Caenorhabditis elegans: one gene and its partner. The protein of the gene in region 1 interacts with the protein of each later gene in a pairwise test. Each region holds a gene or a part of one and is shown on either strand. Other genes may lie near its edges.

Region 1 (3,754 bases):
TAAATCCCAACAGGTATCCCATTGAGATCATTGGAGATTCGAAAGTTGGCGGGAGTCCATTTGGCAGATCAATCTCCACATTGATATATTTCACCTCACCAGGTGCGACGTCACAACTGTAATTGGCTCCGCGGAGCACTGTTTCACCATCTCTTCGATATTTGGATTCAATTGGGCAGTCGGAGTGACAATCGTTAAGAGAACACAATGATTTCTGTGGGCGAGAGTGGTAATGGGATTGTTGAATGAGCTCGAAACGAAGATTAATGATTGGTTTTGTTGAATGATTCTCCATGATGGCAAGTGCTCGGATTGTCTCCCCTGCGAGGAATGCTCGTTTGGAAAAGTGAAGCTAAAATATAATGAGTGAATTTTTTGACTCTACTTTTGAAATTGAACAATACCTTCAACAAAAACAATCCATCTTTGAAAATCGTTCCAGAATTCTTCGACTTGACAAATTCCGCGTACTTCATCATTTTTGGCTCAGAAAGTGTCAGATTTGTCTTCTGAACCACACGGAATGTATTCATCATTTTTAACTTGAGTCTCCACGGACGATCAAATTCCACAGTAACAGAATACTCAATTTCTCCAAACATTCCGCAAAAACTTGGCGGAGAATTTTCTGGAAGTCGGAATCGGAAACGTGATTTGAGAGTTCCAGCGGGGATTGTGTCCTGAATGGGAATATTTTGAAAATATATTTATTAAGTATTAAAAACTCACAACTCCATCTTTGGCAATCCATCCCATAAATGTTCCGGCAAGATGGCGTTGGACATTTGAGCTCTCCGATCCTCCAAAATTACACTTTGATTCTCCTTTCCACGTGATTTCCATATATCGTGCAGAAATTGGATCTTTTGTTGTGAGCAACACTTTTCCAGAGACATAGTCGCCAGGCAGGTATGTTTTGGAAGGATTGGAGAAAACAATGTTCACAGACATAATTCAAAAGGGAGAGATCGAGATAATAAAAGACTGACTGAATGAGACAGATTCTACGTCGTTGTAATCAACTTTCAGCGTTTGTGGGCGGAGTTTCCCATCTTGCTCGGAGAGTGTGGAGGTGATGTGACAATATAGAAAGGTGGTAGATTGCCACCTGCTCTTTTATGAGAATTCCAAATCGATATTGTAATTTTTCTGCACCAACGAAGAACAGTGTCGGTGTAAAAGTCGTGTTTGTTATGGAAAAACGTATTTTCAGATTTTTATCTCCAATTTTCAAAAAGATCTGCATAAAAGAGCAAAATGCCAACAATGCCATCAAGTTTCCAACGTCTTCTTGATATCCCACCTACAATTTGAAACTGAAGAATCTGATAGTGGCACAAAGTCCGAAGGTACAGCTCATAGGTGAAATGCTCAAATAAAGAGAAAATAAACGAATTTTTATTGGTTTCAGCGCCCCAACATACAGCAAAGATCTGAATACAATTCGTTCAAGACTTTCAAAGTTTGTAAGAGGAGGTCAAAAGAAAGTGACAAAAGCAGAAGACAACGATGATTGAATTGTTCTATTCCATTGATCTCATCGAAATTTGATAATATTTTGATAATAAATAATTTATCAATTTAATTAATATAACAACGTGACATCGTTTGTACTTGTTTTATTCAGAAAAAAATTACAGAAAAATAAAAAGTGAAAACAAAAACTGACTCAGTTCTAAATATTTTCTTATCGATAGCTCTTTCGTATCCGCAACAATCCATTCGGAGTAAGTTAACATTCAGATTGCGCGTTGGGTCTGACAATGAGGGCATAGTGACTCTACCAGTTACTAGAGAAGCGGACTGCATTGACATGAACTTCTTACAGATGACAACCAACAACAATAGTTTTCATGTAAAAGGAAAAGAAGAAGTACAATTCGAACGGAAGAATGTGGTTGTAGCATGTGATGTGGTCAATGGGAAGGTAAATGAGGGCTCATTTCGTTTTTGTTTGTTGGGAAATGTTTCTGAAATAATTTATTGAGATGGAAATACATTTCTTTTTGAATAATGTATTCAACGTAGGGCTCGCGCTAAGAGCTGAAACGAGCACAATTTTGTCGGCATTCCTGATGTGTTTAACATTCGAAAATTCCTTAATTTTTCATAAATACGAAGTTTGGGCTATTAAAAAACTCATTTTCAATTCAAAAATCGAAGAGATCTTGAATAATCACATTTGAGATCATATATGTGGACGTGAGTAGCCAATTGATGGGTGTTCTATTTGCTGGTGATGAGATTTTGAACGTCAATGGAGAAACCGTAAGGAATATTTTAAGATCCGTTTCCGCTTCCGTTTCAACTAATCCAAATGTTCAGAACATAAAGACAACTGCTGACTTTATCCGTGCAATCAGTGCAAAACTTCCTGGAAAAGTGACAATTGAGTTCATGCGAGATGATCATTGCCTTGTCACTGAAAAACCATTGCCACCTCGTCGTCCAAATACTCAGATGGTTGAGTTGACTTTCACTTATCGTGGAGGTGCTGCAACAGGGATTATTATTCATAGAGTCAGTAATCGGGACACTTGAAACTTTTAAAGATGGTTTCCAGATGGCAGTTGATCCAAAAACTGTAACTATTTCAATGGTTCAGTCGGCTTCCAATGCGTGTCACTATGTCAAAGGTGGAGATATTCTTGTCAAAGTTAATGACATTTATGTTCTTGATCGTGACTCTGCTAGAAAAGTATGATATCTTCCGAAACACAAATGGCTACTATTATCGCTCTTTCAGCTTCTCTATGCGAGTGTCAACAACACAAAAACGGTACGTCTTACATTGGAAAGATCCACAAATACTGATCCACTCGGCCCTGCTCCACTGCCTCCCGATGGTGCACAGAGTACTGCTGTTGGAGTGAAGAAAGCTGGAAATTCAGTGATGCTTCCACCTCCAAAACCACCCCAAGGAAAAGCCAACAAGCAGTTTGATGTGGTCAGTTTAAACCCATTTTCTTTTATCACTTCACTTAAATATAGAAACATGTTTTCATTTTCTTCTTTGCAGCTTCTTCCTTCTGATGTTTTGGAAATTATGAAGACAAACAAGATTTCTACAAGAAACCGTGCACGAATCCTCCATGTATTATCAAATCAGCCGTTGCACCAGCTCCAACTCCAGTTCCAGCCACCTTGCCATCGGAGCCTGCCCCAGAAGTTCGTATCCCATACATTCCGTCTCCGAAGCCCCTGAAAATGACTCCAAAACGTCTGGGATCTTAACTTGAGGAAGATATTCGGAATAAATTTGTTCGAAAAAAGTTACTTTGAAGTGATTTATGAATTTTTAAAGTTTTGAAAATCTACCTATTTTGCCAATAAATTGTCATTTTCATTTGATAATACACACTTAAAGATACGGCTGAAAATGTACATGACAGTAAAATATACTGTGAAGCCAGAGAGTAAAATATACTGTGAAGCCAGAGAGTAAAATATACTGTGAAGCCAGAGAGTAAATTATTCTGTGAAGCCAGAGAGTAAAATGTACTGTGAAGCCAGAGAGTAAAATATACTGTGAAGCCAGAGAGTAAAATATACTATGAAGCCAGAGAGTAAATTATTCTGTGAAGCCAGAGAGTAAAATATACTGTGAAGCCAGAGAGTAAATTATTCTGTGAAGCCAGAGAGTAAAATATACTGTGAAGCCAGAGAGTAAATTATTCTGTGAAGCCAGAGAGTAAAATATACTGTGAAGCCAGAGAGTAAAATACTGTGAAGCCAGAGAGTAAATTATTCTGTG
Region 2 (3,754 bases), 940 kb from region 1:
TATTCAAATGGCTCAAGGTGCACAAGGATAATCATTTTTAACATATCATATGATCTTGTTTAAACTTACGATAAAAGTTATTTTAATTTATTATTGTTTTAATTTTAACCTTGTCTATTCATTCCGTTAGATAACGGTTCATTATTTTATACTTTCTGCTTTGTATTTGTATTTTATAAAATTTATTGAAATTAAAAAAAAAACTGTAATATAGTATACTCGTAAAATTTTTACATTAAAAATCATCGGTTAATTTTTCGCAATTTCATAAAATTCTAATATTCTAATTGAATTTTCTAACCGATTAGAAAATAATGATTGAAGTTAACCGAATTGGCGAATCGCTGAGATCTGTGGAATATGCTGATCATCAAAATCGATTAATTTTCCGCCGTCATTCGTCGTAAAATTATTATTAGAACTTGTCGGGGAGTAGGCATTCAGTTTTTCACTTCTTGTAGTTATTGGAGTTTCAATCGAGACAGCTACTCTTTCTGACGGGAGTTGGACAATTGAGCGCGTCGGCTGAAAATCTAGATGAGAAAATTTTGGAAGCTTTTAAATTAAAAAAATAAGTTTTTACTAAAAATACTAAAAATTGTAATCTTTTCTGAATCGTAGAAACTAAATTTATCTCAAAAATCGAGAATTCTACAAGAAAACATACATTTTTCGGGAATAAATACCATACGAATAGTCCAACCACTACTCCGAAAACATGTAGAGATATTGAGATAATTGTGTGCGTTGTGTAGGATAATGTGACGAACATGAAATCTGAAAATTAGCAATTTTTCACATTTTGTATCAGTTTCTCAACTATAAAACAAAAACATAAAAGTCAAAAGCGATGGAAAGACTGTGAGCGAGAGATGAAGCCGACGGAATGAAGCGTAAAAGCTGTGGCGCACCACGGCTGCGCGGAAAGATTTTTCTCGTTTTTCTGATGTTGCTGACGGGCGACAGCCAGCAGCTTCTCCTTCCATTATCCTACAAGTGTCCAATTCATCCCGCAGAATGGCTTTTGTACCTATCTCCCGTCCGTTCTGGCTTATCGTACCGGGGACATTTATTGCGAAATGTAGAGGATTGTGTATGTGGTTTAGGAGTGGAACATTGAAGTAGCTAGCGGGAATTGTGGGATTATTTTAATTTTTATGAGATTCTCAATAGTTTAACTATTTAATTTCATCAAAAAATATCCTATTTATGGAATTTAATTTATGTCGAAAAAATATAGAAAATCACTAGATTTATCTGAAAATAACATTTTTTTCAGCCGAAACTTTTGAGAAAATGCAGAAAATTACCTTAAACTAAATGTTATTTTCAGATAAATCTAGTGACTTAAAAAAAATTATTTTTGACACAAATAGGAAATTAAAAATGTTAGAAAAACATGGTGCATTATGTCATTTTGTAGAATTGCAGAAACTATTATGATATTTTGACATCGAATGGAAAAATGGCAGCTAATCTAGCGAGCGATGAGACCGGTTCTCTATAGATTTTCAAGTGACCTTTCGGAACGAAGAAGTTCCAATCAAGCTACATACTAGATTCCTAGATTCTATAGACTTAGAATAATTAAATCAAAAACCTATCATGGATGAGAATAAGAAATAATGAAATCCTGCCTTGAATTAATATGCAAATGAGATGACTATACAGTCAGAGAATTATTCCTTCTTTGTTACGCGCGTTTCATCCGAATCTTTTTCCTGACTATGAGAAAGTCTCTTCGTTGACCGTAGTCTCTAGAGGTCTTGTGACCCCGATTCGGTCGCTTAAACAAAACACAAAAATACAGTAGTGGATTGAAAGTTCGCGGCTTTTCAAAAAGTGTTTTTGATCTTTATGTATCATAAATCGTGAAAAAAACGACTAAAAACGACTGCCGCAGAAAAAAAAGTTCGAAATTACCGTACTCTTAAAAAGCGAATATATTTTTGTAAGTCTGTGGAGGGTACTGTATTTTTAGCGCAAAATTTTGCGAGTGTACAACTGAATTATCATTTCGATATTAGAAAATCATGTATTTCCACAACATCATAATTTCAGGATGAAGCTTCTCAAAAAACCCGCGGGACTCAAAAAAAGAAAAGTTATTTCAAAACGAATCAAGATTGAAAAGAAGCCAAGTTCTGAGGACGAGGGAAGTTCAGATGAGGAGGTACCAAAATTGGATGGAGAAGGAAGTTTAGATGGATCTGAAGATGAAGATGATGGAACTGTGACTGTTGAGAAAGGAGGTGTGAAGAAGCATAAGTTGGATTTGGAAAAGTGAGAAATTGTCTTCGAGCTGGTAATAAAAATATATATTTTTAGACTGAAACAATCCGATCCCGAGTTTTTCAAGTTCCTTCAACAGGAAGATGCCGATCTATTGAATATGGAAGATGATGGGGATGACGATGAAGATGACGATGAGGATGATGAAGATGAAGAGGAAGAGGAAAGTGATGATGATGAGGATGATGAGGAGGATGACGACAAGACAAAGATTAAGAAGATCCGAAAACCAAAGATTAAAAGTGACAATTCTGGACGTCTTATCGTGGATTCAAATGTTTACTCTTACCTTCAACAAGTTCTCGTTTTGGATGATGAGGTAATTTATATTATCGAGACGGAAAACTTTACTTACTTTGATACTTTGATGTCCGTTGGGTTCAAGTTGCGAGGCAACTGCGGACAAACTCGAAAAAATATATTTGTTTAGTTGAGAAAACAATTAAAAACGCATACATTTTTTTAAAAACGTAAATTTTGAAGTAAATGATTTTTTAAAAAATTTTAAAAACCTGATACTAAATGATTAGCAGACCCAAGCTGTGACTAAATATTGGTTTTTAGAAATTTTTCATCGATTTTTCGTATTTTAGTTGAAAATATATTCATTTATTCAACAAAAAAAAAACAATTAAAATCACATAATTAATAAGAAATCAGTAAAAAATACTATAAAAAATCAATGAAAATTACAGTAACTAGAGTTTGAAACTACAGTACTCTTTAAATGCGCACACGAGTTTGCATTTAACTAAAATTATGTCGTGTCGAGACCGGGTACCGTATACTTTTAGCATAAAACGAAATATTTCGCGTTTGGGAAATATGGTTGTACCAGAAAAAAACGTTATCGAAAAAAAAAGGTTTTTCGCCAAAAATCACGAAAGAAGCAAAAAAGGAAATTTTGAAGTTTGGAATGTTTTTTTTTTGAAAAAAGTGTGAAAATTAAAAATTTTGTGTTTTCAGTGAGCGACAGGCGGTTTTTTCTTTCGAAAAGTGAGAAAAAAACGTTTTTTTAAGCCAAAAACGTTGAAAAAGGCAAAAACGAAGCAAAATAGTCTAAGATTAAATATATTAAAAAAAAAAAATTCATTTAAAATAGGGCTGAATCCGAAAAAAAAATTTCTCGAAGTCGACGGAAGCGAAAAAAACGGAAATTTTGATGTTGCGACTGTTTTTTTTTGAATAATATCAAGTGCAACTTTTTTTTAAAGTGTAAAATATTTTTTGGCAAAAAAATTTTTTTTAAAAAGTGATAATGAAGCAAAATAGTCTATGGCCATCGTGCGAGAATCCTATTCGAATTCCAACAAAATGAAATATTATAGACCTCCACACCCACCAATCCATCGGATGTTCGTATGGCTGTCGATGTTTTTGTCGCTTGTGTTGCTCGAGTTGGTGCAGACATTGAAGCTCCAAAATATGTCATTAATGAGCAATCAATCTTCGAAGCTGTTGT

The links. Proteins that work in one complex are often made in the same cells at the same time.
Region 2: the proteins of mpz-6 (region 1) and pro-2 interact in a two-hybrid assay, tested with the Caenorhabditis elegans proteins (one large-scale study listed by BioGRID).

Annotation. Positions count from the first base shown.
Region 1 is NC_003280.10:9,405,051-9,408,804, reverse strand, and holds mpz-6 (PDZ domain-containing protein), read left to right. Parts: upstream 1-1,684; 5' UTR 1,685-1,727; intron 1,728-1,828; coding exon 1,829-1,927; intron 1,928-2,187; coding exon 2,188-2,268; intron 2,269-2,325; coding exon 2,326-2,520; intron 2,521-2,563; coding exon 2,564-2,698; intron 2,699-2,746; coding exon 2,747-2,947; intron 2,948-3,019; coding exon 3,020-3,205; 3' UTR 3,206-3,271; downstream 3,272-3,754. Other genes in the region: arrd-2 (Arrestin C-terminal-like domain-containing protein), read right to left, coding at 1-352, 405-680, 730-951.
Region 2 is NC_003280.10:10,343,420-10,347,173, reverse strand, and holds the start of pro-2 (Nucleolar complex protein 2 homolog), read left to right. Parts: upstream 1-2,061; 5' UTR 2,062-2,062; coding exon 2,063-2,283; intron 2,284-2,328; coding exon 2,329-2,611; intron 2,612-3,620; coding exon 3,621-3,754. Other genes in the region: stip-1 (Septin and tuftelin-interacting protein 1 homolog), read left to right, coding at 1-31; C07E3.10 (uncharacterized protein), read right to left, coding at 325-525, 668-772. UniProt on the Caenorhabditis elegans protein: Required for normal somatic gonad development and for regulation of germline development and proliferation.